Arabidopsis thaliana: one gene and its partner. The protein of the gene in region 1 interacts with the protein of each later gene in a biochemical or structural test. Each region holds a gene or a part of one and is shown in the gene's direction. Other genes may lie near its edges.

Region 1 (6,649 bases):
AAACGATAAATAAAACAAATTATGCTGAATATATCAAATATATGTATATGTATTTTTTTGCGTTAACTTAGCCAATTAAACACGTAACATTCGTGTTTAATGTTTTTAATTTGCCTAAGGCAATATTTTATTTTCGTCAAAAACAAGTAACCGAAGACACTTGTTTCTTTCGAAATCAGTACTCAATAAAATAAAGTTTTGTGTAAGACTAATTTTAGAGATTCTCTTAGTAGTTGACCAAAAAAAAACAAAGATGTTTTACATCAGATTCGAAGTACCACAGTTTATAAGTATGCCAATACGTGTGATTGAATACATCAATATAATTAGATCTTATCTTACATATTTGTGGACAATTAAGTCGGTATTTCGCTAAGAATGTTTTTTTTTTTTGCAAATCAAAATGTGTATTCTATGACAATATAAAAATCATATACACAAATAAATGATGGCTAGGAATCGAAAAAGATGTGTCCTCGTGGGTTTTTAGAATTGAAAGCGTCAAAAAAGAAACACTAGAGCTTTCAGATTTCAAGTATACAGCGAAGAGTAATGAGATGCCTTGAATATGGAATGGGAAAGTATCTCAGTATGGCGTAGAGTACCAACGCGTTATGGTGTATGAATGGGAAAAAATACATTCATTCAACCATATTTTATACTCCTAATATTTATATTTATTCGTATCGTGTGATTTTTTCATTAATGTGGACAAAAGTTATTGAGTACTTTTAGGTTTTAACTGGGGATCCACCCCCAGCATTAACGTCGGCTTCGAGTACCGAAATAAAATAAACGGTGTAGTAATGACGAAATAACATAAATAAGTGTCGAATAGCTCCAACACGTAGAACAAACGCAAGAAAACAAATGTTAAATGGTCAGTTTATGAAGATATAAAAACAAGGAGTATCAAACTTGAATTAAGGTTTTAAGAACATTTTGAGTGATTCAATTGCTTCTTTTATACAAAAAGTTTAAACTCAGATTACGTACGCCCACGTTCCCTTGAAGTATATTTTTAATTTTTCCTAATGCGGTTGTAATATATTTTTATAAAGATTTTAATTAAATGGTGATCAAATGTGTTAGATACTCTAACCACCACAGCCGTGGTAACTAACCACTGACCACTCGTACGTATAATACAATTTTAGAAATATACATACTTAATATGTGGTGTATTAGGTATTTTTGTAGCATTTTTTTTTGTTAAAATGTTACACGTTTGAATTATGAAGTTTACGTGCACGGTCGCAACTCGCAATATAGTTTTTATGATGTTTGTGGTTATTCGAATGACAATCATGTCCTACTACTAGCACTTCAAATCAAAGTACACGAACCTATAGCCTATAGGATGATGTATGTCTATTTATGCGAAACCAAACTATAAAAAATCTCGATTATTTATCAAATAAAATATTAGACCTAATTTACAAATGGCGGACAAAAACTCAACTTTAAAATGTAAACCTTTGGCACTATCAATATCAACATAAAAACGTTAAAAAAATAACGCAACTTTAGAATTTCATATACTACTTGCATCAACCATCTTCTGTATCTATCACTATCCGTATGGGAATATAAGTATCCTTTAAATTAATAAATCATCGCAAGTAGGAAGAGAATCAATACTCGAAAAGATATAAAAAAAACCCACCAAGACAACGATCATCTAATCACAGAAGAGAACAAAATTCTTAGAATCATAAAAGTAATTAATTAAGTAAGTCATCAAAGACAATCACCTGGAAACTCGCTTCCTAATCAAGATTTCTCGATAATCCTCTCAATCATAATCATTTCTCTACTATCAATAAAATAAGTAAACAAAGGTAGACCATAAACTAATCATTTGGTCTTCTACTATTAACGTATGAAGTAGCCCATACTATATCATATCGCTTTAAATTATACAAAGACAAATTCGAAACAATCTCGAGTACGTATGTATTATTAATTTTATGTTTACACTACGGTGTCGTTTTCAAATTTTTAATAATATTGTGGGTTTCTTTTTCGGGCTGGTGGGCTTTTTGTGTCCGCTTCCCAATACTTTTATTTTATAAATTAAAAATTAATCATCGTCTCTCTTGTGTCTCTCTGTTCATCACTTTTCTTCTTTTGATGTTCTTGTAGCGTCTGTACGAAATCTCACAAGGTTTCTTCTTCTCAGATTTAGAAATACTTGTGTGATATCTTCTGAGTAACCAAATTCTTGATAAAGTTTCTAGCTTTATTCAAACCCATTTGAAAAATCCGGTGGTGAATCGCCGGAGAAATGTGTTTTTCGTTTCTCCACTGAGTTTTTTTTGTTAAGAAATCTGTTAAAACTCTAGATTTCAAACGAATGACATTTTCTGAGATTGAGGAACATTGTGAATCGAGGACTGGAGTGAAGATTCTCTGATGAGTGATTCAGAAGAAGACGAAGAAGAAGAAGAAGCTAGTGAAGTCATTTTAAGCAGCGTCGTTCAGAAGAAGAAGAAGAAGAATCTGCGTTTCGGTGAAGAAGTAGAGAGACGAGACGGTTTGGTGTTGTTAGCTCAATCTACTCCAATGGTGAGATCGAGATCTCAAGGAACGACTCGGCGCGTGACTCCCACGCCTTTAGTAGATGTTGAGAAGCCGCTACCAAACGGAGATCTTTACATCGGAAGTTTCTCCGGTGGGTTTCCACATGGATCCGGGAAGTATCTATGGAAAGATGGGTGCATGTACGAAGGAGATTGGAAACGAGGGAAAGCTTCAGGGAAAGGCAAATTCTCATGGCCAAGTGGAGCTACTTACGAAGGTGAATTCAAATCTGGGAGAATGGAAGGTTTTGGTACTTTCACTGGAGCTGATGGAGATACTTATAGAGGAACTTGGGTTGCTGATAGAAAACACGGACATGGACAAAAGCGTTATGCAAATGGAGATTTTTATGAAGGTACTTGGAGAAGGAATCTACAAGATGGTAGAGGTAGGTATGTGTGGAGAAATGGGAATCAGTATACTGGAGAGTGGCGTAGTGGTGTGATTTCTGGGAAAGGTTTGCTTGTTTGGCCTAATGGGAATCGATATGAAGGTTTGTGGGAGAATGGGATTCCTAAAGGGAATGGTGTGTTTACTTGGAGTGATGGGAGTTCTTGTGTTGGTGCTTGGAATGAGAGTAATATTATGAGGAGTTTCTTTAATGGTGTTGAGAAGAATGATTTGATTGTGGGGAATAGGAAGAGATCTTCTGTTGATAGTGGAGCTGGGAGTTTGGGAGGTGAGAAAGTTTTTCCAAGAATCTGTATTTGGGAATCTGATGGTGAAGCTGGAGATATCACTTGTGATATTATTGATAATGTTGAAGCTTCCATGATTTATAGAGATAGGATCTCTGTTGATCGTGATGGGTTTAGGCAGTTTAAGAAGAATCCTTGTTGGTTTAATGGTGAGGCTAAGAAACCTGGACAGACTATTTCTAAAGGGCATAAGAAATATGATTTGATGCTGAATTTGCAATTAGGAATCAGGTAAATATCTCAAATTTGGTGGATTGGTGTTTTTGTTTGGTGTGTGATGGCTTTCTCTGTTGTTTCTAATGAAGGTTGTGTGTGATTGAATTAGGTATTCTGTTGGCAAACATGCTTCGATTGTTCGTGATCTTAAACAGACTGATTTCGATCCAAAGGAGAAATTTTGGACAAGGTTTCCACCAGAAGGGACTAAGACAACACCGCCGCATCAGTCAGTGGATTTCAGGTGGAAGGATTATTGCCCTTTAGTGTTCAGGTAACTTTTTAGCTTTTTTATTTTTATGAAAAGTGTTTCAATTTAGCAAATTGCTGAATGCGTTTTAAGTTTGATGATGTGGCTATACCCAAATTTGGGCTTAGTTGATAAGATTGTGGACGTATTTGTGATGAATTGTGTTTCTTTTTGGGCAAATTTTGTTTGTAGACGTCTCAGGGAGCTTTTCCAAGTGGATCCAGCTAAGTATATGCTAGCTATATGTGGAAATGATGCTCTCCGCGAACTATCTTCACCTGGAAAGAGTGGAAGCTTTTTTTACCTAACTCAAGATGATAGATTTATGATCAAAACGGTGAAGAAATCAGAAGTCAAGGTTAGTAGTTGTTGGCTCTTCTTGTTTTTGACCTTTCTCTTGTCATATTTGAAAATGCTTGTCTGTTCAAGTTAATTTACTTGATTAGCGGATGGGACACCCTTTTTGTTTGTTTGTTTCTTTGCTTTCACATTACTTTCTCAATCATAAACTCCACTAAGTCTGTGATTAGCTAAAGAAATTTGACCTGAAGTGTTTGTCTTCTTCTATCCAGGTTCTTCTAAGAATGCTTCCAAGTTACTACAAACATGTCTGCCAATACGAAAACTCCCTTGTGACTAGATTCTACGGTGTTCATTGTGTCAAACCTGTTGGTGGCCAAAAGGTATGTGTTTGTTCATCTAAAGCTTCATGGGTCTCTTAGTGTCAAGAAAATTTACTGTTTTGTTTACCATTTTTGATCAGACTCGGTTTATCGTTATGGGAAACTTATTCTGCTCCGAGTATAGAATCCAGAGACGGTTTGACCTCAAAGGGTCTTCTCATGGGCGTAGCACTGCAAAGCCTGAAGGAGAAATTGATGAGACCACGACTCTCAAGGACCTTGATCTCAATTTTTCTTTCCGTCTTCAGAGAAACTGGTATCAAGAGCTTATGAAGTAAGCTCCATGCTTCTCACTATTTTTTGCGTATGCAAAGTATTCAGCTACCTAAACATATGCTAATGCTGATCGGTATTCATGATCAGGCAAATAAAACGCGATTGTGAGTTCTTGGAAGCAGAGAGAATAATGGATTATAGCCTTTTAGTTGGTGTTCACTTCCGTGATGACAACACAGGAGAAAAGATGGGGCTTTCTCCATTCGTTTTGAGATCTGGTAAATTATACATCATTGATCATTCTCTATATGTGTCCCCCCGCTGAAGTCGACCTATCGTGAGATTTATGTCAATCTTATGCAGGTAGGATAGATTCATATCAGAATGAAAAATTCATGCGCGGTTGTCGCTTCCTAGAGGCAGAACTTCAAGACATGGACCGGATTTTAGCTGGCAGGTAACAATCATTGATCCGGGTTTCATTTTTAATGTTAAGAAGTTGACTTCACAGAGGAAGCTTTTTGCATTCATAGCCATTGAGACATGAAGTGGTTGAGAGATTCAATTTCGGATTAAGTATATAATATATGTAGGAATGATTAAATGTGCTTGGCAATCTTGTGTGGGGAGTGTTTAAACAAGTCATGTGGTCCTGTTTGCTAGAAAAGAATCAATCAATTCATGATCCATCAATTTTTGCTTAATATTCAATCTTGTGTTAACAGGAAACCATCGATCAGATTAGGCGCAAACATGCCAGCAAAAGCTGAACGAATGGCCCGGAGAAGCGATTTTGATCAGTATTCATCAGGAGGAGCCAGTTATCCATCACACGGTGAGATGTACGAAGTTGTTCTCTACTTTGGAGTCATTGACATCTTGCAAGACTACGACATAACCAAAAAGATCGAGCATGCGTATAAGTCACTGCAAGCCGATCCTGCTTCGATCTCAGCTGTTGATCCTAAACTCTATTCAAAGAGGTTCAGAGACTTCATCAGTAGGATCTTCATTGAAGAGGGCTAAAGACAAGAAGGCTAAAGTTTTTAACTAACATTCTCGGCTCTACGGAAATGTGAAGAAAGCTGCGCGGGAAGAGTAAAAAGGTAAATCTCAAGGATAGAAGAAAAGCGATTTCGGAATTTTATGTTTATATATTTTGAGATGACCAATCAAGTTTTTGGGTTGGGGAGGGGCTTTATTTATTTTTGTGGTGAGCCGTTTATATATATAATATTTATATATGTGAATATAGATTGAAGGTTTTAGTACATAGGCAGACAAGAAATTACAAGGAAAAAAGGGTTTGGTAAATTCCGAAAATGTGGAATAAAGTAAAGTGTACAAGTAAAAAAATGAAAGATAGTAATACCATTAATTAGTTCTCTTAATCCCATATTCTCATAGGATCCCTCCTTAACCATCCAAAGTTAAGGGGTCCATTATTTTGTTGTTGTTTATTTTCTTTCAATACAACTTTACCACTTGCATAATCTATGAACCTAAAGCAATGTCAATGGTAAACAGTAAATGCTAAAATAGTTGATTAGTAAAATAGTATATGGTCAAAGAAGGAAGAGTTGAATTGGGGTTGGTTTCATGAAAAGTAGATAAAGCTAAACTAGCACACCACATGTCTTTTCTTTGCATTCTTTTTGTCTAAATCTCTTAAGTCTAGTTTTTTTCATATGTGATAGCTTCACAAAGTATAAGACTGTTATTCAAATTAAAGTCTTAGATCTTTTAATAAAAACTAAAAGTCTAAGAAGCCTGAAACGGTTTGTTTATCTATGAATTCATTTAATTACGCTTGGATTCTGATCAACAATCCATTGCATCATCGTTAATTCTCAAAAAAACTAAAACTGGTTTTTTCAGACTTGACATGGTTTTATATTTTGTTTACATTAAAAGAATTTGTATATTTTTTCTTTCCAAAGTAAACAGTAGTGAGTAGACAATTATTGTTTTTCATTAAGTTTAATACTTTCTACAGTCCATAT
Region 2 (4,930 bases), on another chromosome or scaffold:
GCGTTTAAGAGCAGTGCTTCTCTTGGAGTTACTTTGAATATCACTAAGGCTTCTACTCTTCCCGCCGCATGCAAGCTTCACGCTCCTTCTATCGCTACTTGTGGATGTAAGATCTATTCATTTCTTAACTTGTTTGTTTCTTAGATCTCTTCCGGTTTTGTAGATCTTAATTTGTTATGCTTAATCTTCGAGAGCGGTTTCTTAAATCCACATTTTTTCTAATTTTTTCAGTTTAATTAAGAAAATAATTTGTAGATTTTTCGAAACTGTTTTAAGATTCTATTTTTTGTTGTTGTTGATGTTGATTAAATTACTTATAATGCTTTTTTATTTTATTTTTGTTCTTACAGTGTCTGTTGCTCCAAGTACTGCTCCAGGTATTTTGTCTTTCTTCTTGGTTGATTTTTAATTTTACTCTTAAGTTTTGTCTCATGCAATGCTTTATTGTGTTTTTAAATTCCCACTTGAAAATTTTGAAAAGATAAAAATTGTCGATTGTTTGACTTTGATCATCTGGGTTCTCACTTAAAGTGAAAATGATTTATCTAAGATTCTACAATACAAAAAATTATAATTAATACGAACCATGACAAAAATTTGTGTGAATTCCTTATTTGTGATTTTCTTTGTAAAAATTTGCTCGAGTGATTGGAAATCTCTGCTCTTTTTCTCCATGTTAGTTATGTGATTTCTCGTTGAGATGTTTTACGCTTTTGAGATTTCTTAATGTGGAACCTAATTTTATCAGGTCTTGCTCCAGGAGTAGCTGCTGCTGGACCTGAGACAGCCGGATTTCTAGCTCCAAATCCTTCTTCAGGGAACGATGGATCTTCTTTGATTCCGACCTCGTTCACAACTGTACTCAGTGCCGTACTGTTCGTTTTGTTCTTCTCTAGTGCGTAAAAAAAAACCTGAATCTTTTTTCACCAGCTAGATTTGGCTGTATGAAATTGATTAATGGTTTTTATTAGGGTTAATCTATGTATGTTTTGGAGTGTTCTGTTTTTAGACCATATCGGTTTCTCTATTACTAGCGTTTACTCTTTTAGTTTATGTTATTACTTTGTCTCACAACATTGGTCCTTTTATTCGATCTATCGCTTATTCCTTCATCTATGTTTTCTCTCACACCCTCATAGTTATATTCGCCAAAAGCTCAGGCAGAAACATTCTCAAAGTCCACTATACAAAAAAGAAATACTACAAGTAACATTTATATATTCTTTTTAAGAAAATTATGGTGTAATATTGCAATGACTAACAACAAAATTCTTTAATTTCGTTTTAATTTTCTCATAAAAACTGTGTAATAAAATACAGGAAATCATATGATATCATTTTAGTAGATGAAATTTTCTCATAATATCGTCATTGTCAGTAAGTAAGTCCCAACTTTTTGTCAAGAGTATCATATTTATATTTTGTTACAGTGTAGTTTGACTATAGTACCAATTACAACTTGTTCTATGAAACGAGTACAAAATTTCTTCATCTGAAAAGGAAATGCATGTGTTAAGAAAATTAGAGACGTGAAAGTGAAAGGAAACAAAATGTTTCGTGGCATCGTGAAAGATATAAATATATATCGTATTTTTTAAAAATCAGATTATTACTTCTTGTAATTAGCTTATCAGATTCAAAATTCAAAATCTCAATAGTAATAATCTTTTGAAAGAAAATAATGAAAAATCAACTGTCAACAAAAGTTAATCAACTGTCCAAGTGTCCCGTTGTGGACAAATCACGTTTACTTCCCACCAAGGATTTTCAACTTTATTATGATCGCGTGGACTTTCCAGCGCACGTTAGATCTCCTCCCTCGCCAAACCAAAATAATAATTAAATAGTACGAATTACTAAAAACCAAAAAATTAAAATTAATAAAAAAATGAAAATAATTTAAAAGTATTGCGAACGATAATTACTTTCCCCTCTCTCTCTCTCTCTCTGTCTGCCACCAACAGCCGAGGACGACGACCGTATCTTCCACCACAAACTGCTTCCGGCTGAGACGACGGCGATCTACTCCGGCTAATTCTGTTACTTGATTCTGCTCTGAATTTTAACAAGCAGAATTTCTCGGATAGCAGGAAGAACGGGATTAATTAGCTCATCGCTTGGTTCTCTACGTGAGATTTAGTTTTGGATTCTGGAGAAATTTCCGATCGCCTTCGGTTTACGGCGATTGGAGTGAGTAGGATACGGAGAAATCTCTATTTTCTGTGTTTTTTTCGCGATTTAGGAAAGTTAAGCATTATAAAGCCAAATTTCGTCGATTTGGCATTGAGATTTTGAGCTTTGGGTGGTTATAGATAGGTTTTTTGAGTTAAGGTTTTACGGGTAATCCTAGGGTTTAGTTATTGGGGAAGAGAGAGGCTCCGTTAATCTGGTTTGTTGGAAGAGTCTCCTGGATCTGTTGTCTCGACGGATGATTTGGGTCTGTGAGCTAGGGCTTTTTATGCTTGGCTGATTAGGATGCCGATGGGACGCTTTCTATCTTTGGTCCGAGGAGACTCGGCTGAGTCACCTCGTGAGATTACCTCACAGAGTAATATCATCGGCGATACTGGTTCTAATGGTTGGCTTATTAGGTTTTTCGATTCTGCTTTCTTCTGTGAGTGGATTGCTGTTAGTTATCTGTACAAGCACCCTCATGCTGGTGTTAGGGATTACTTATGCAATAGGATGTATACGCTTCCCTTATCAGGTATTGAGAGTTATCTCTTCCAGATTTGCTACATGATGGTGCACAAACCAAGCCCATCGCTTGATAAGTTTGTTATAGACATCTGTGGAAAGTCACTGAAAATCGCACTGAAAGTGCATTGGTTTTTGTTGGCTGAGCTGGAGGATGCTGACGATAATGAAGGCATCAGCAGGATTCAAGAGAAGTGTCAAATTGCAGCTACTTTGATGGGTGAGTGGTCTCCTCTCATGCGTCCACAGAACGAGGTCTCAACCCCAGGGAGCAAGAATCAGGTCCTAAATAGACTTTTGTCATCAAAACAGAAGCTCTTCTCCTTAAAGCTATCTCCTCCCACCCAGAAGTCTTTGTCATTCTCACCTTCGCCAGGGACCAACGTGCAGGATGATGGTAGTCAGTTACCTGCTGAGGACAATAAGATTTTTAAGAAACTTATCCCAAGTCCTAAAGTCAGAGATGCTTTAATGTTTAGAAAGTCAGCTGACAAAGATGATGAAGAGAGTGAAAAGGAAGGATTCTTCAAGAGGCTCTTGAGGGACAGCAAAGGTGAGGGTGATGAACCAATACCTAACTCAGAGGGTTTCTTTAAGCGCCTTTTGAAAGACAATAAATCAGAAGATGAGGACATAACAAACAGTTCCGAGGGGTTCTTCAAGAGGCTCTTGAGTAGTAAAGGAGAAAGCGAGGAATTGACATCGAGTTCAGATGGGCTGTTTAAAAGGTTGTTACGAGATAATAAGGGAGATGAAGAGGAATTGGGTGCAAATTCAGACAGTTTCTTCAAGAGATTGTTACGGGAGAGTAAAAACGAGGACGAGGAGTCAAACCCAAACTCAGAAGGTTTTTTTAAGAAATTATTCCGTGACAGCAAACCTGAAGATGATAAAGTTCCTAAAGAAGTGGATGATGAGGACAAAGATGGGTTCCTTAAGAAACTTTTCAGGGAAAAAAATGATGACAAAAGACATGGTAGTGAAAAGAATGAAGCCAATGGAACAGTGTATGCCGATAAGAAATCTGGTGAAGAGGATGAGAGGGAGGGGTTTTTCAAAAAATTCTTTAAGGAAAAATCTGATGACAAGAAAGACATTGTCAAGGTTGATGACGGGAATGAAAGTGAGGGTGATGAATCTCCAGAATTTTCTCTTTTCAAAAGATTATTCCGTATACATCCCGAAGATGCAAAACCTACTTCAGAAAATGAAAATAGCAGCAATGGCTTAGTTGAAAGCAGTCCTGGGACAGAAAACTTTTTCCGCAAGTTGTTCAGAGATCGTGACCAATCTGTTGAAGATTCTGAACTGTTTGGATCAAAGAAACACAAGGAGGTTTGTTCTCGTTTGACTTGGTCTTTTGTGTTTCTGTCTTATTGCATATACTGGTTGCATTTGCACTGTTTTGACATTCAGTTTTCATTTGATCCACATCTTCAGAGTCATTTATCAAGATTCTTGTAGGATACAATCATATGTCTTTCCTTCTTTTGAATTTTACTTGACACAAATGTTGGCTGAAACAGGGTGGTTGTTCGACTTCAATTGATTATTTATCTATGCCAGACTTTTTTTCTTTCATATGAGCTTGATTATCTCATACCAATGTTTCTTATTATAACCATTGCAGAAACGGCCAGGCTCACCTAAACAGCGGGATGATACTCCATCTGGTAAGCCCCCGCTACCAAACAATACTGCATCACAATTCAGGAAAGGGGCTTACCACGAGTCGTTGGAGTTTGTACAAGCGTTATGTGAAACGTCATATGGTTTGGTAGATATCTTTCCCATCGAAGATCGGAAGATTGGTCTTCGGGAGGTGAAACTGACTTTTCTTATTGATAATTAAATTTATGTCAAATTCTACCTTTGTAGCAACTGACTAAATTTTATATTTCTTTTGTTTGGTTTTAGTCTCTTGCAGAGATCAATTTTCATTTATCGGAAGCTGAAATCACTGGAGGTATTTTTCTAAAATTATATTTTAAGAGTTATTATTTGGAGGTCTACTTTATATGTGTAGCTCAAATATATTGAGCCGGTATATATTCTATAGGCCATGTATGCTTTTCTCTGAAATAGTATGTGAACGTTTCATGCCCTGTTAAAGTTTCTGAGTGCTCATCGTGTTGCTTGTCTTAAATTAGTATTATGTCCGTTATATCATATTTATTTCCACTCTTGTTTGAAGAATCTATGTTTTTCCATCCTTGCTCTTTTATCACTTATT

What was found.
Region 2: the proteins of PIP5K1 (region 1) and PI-4KBETA1 form a complex in vitro, tested with the Arabidopsis thaliana proteins (one study listed by BioGRID).

Annotation. Positions count from the first base shown.
Region 1 is NC_003070.9:7,732,638-7,739,286, forward strand, and holds PIP5K1 (phosphatidylinositol-4-phosphate 5-kinase 1), read left to right. Parts: upstream 1-2,023; 5' UTR 2,024-2,415; coding exon 2,416-3,512; intron 3,513-3,606; coding exon 3,607-3,771; intron 3,772-3,939; coding exon 3,940-4,105; intron 4,106-4,319; coding exon 4,320-4,430; intron 4,431-4,510; coding exon 4,511-4,704; intron 4,705-4,793; coding exon 4,794-4,924; intron 4,925-5,009; coding exon 5,010-5,103; intron 5,104-5,371; coding exon 5,372-5,672; 3' UTR 5,673-6,135; downstream 6,136-6,649. UniProt on the Arabidopsis thaliana protein: Catalyzes the synthesis of phosphatidylinositol 4,5-bisphosphate and phosphatidylinositol 3,4-bisphosphate.
Region 2 is NC_003076.8:25,641,448-25,646,377, reverse strand, and holds the start of PI-4KBETA1 (phosphatidylinositol 4-OH kinase beta1), read left to right. Parts: upstream 1-1,899; 5' UTR 1,900-2,475; coding exon 2,476-4,032; intron 4,033-4,327; coding exon 4,328-4,519; intron 4,520-4,614; coding exon 4,615-4,663; intron 4,664-4,930. Other genes in the region: XYP1 (Bifunctional inhibitor/lipid-transfer protein/seed storage 2S albumin superfamily protein), read left to right, coding at 1-106, 351-377, 749-903. UniProt on the Arabidopsis thaliana protein: Acts on phosphatidylinositol (PtdIns) in the first committed step in the production of the second messenger inositol-1,4,5-trisphosphate. Necessary for proper organization of the trans-Golgi network (TGN) and post-Golgi secretion in root hairs.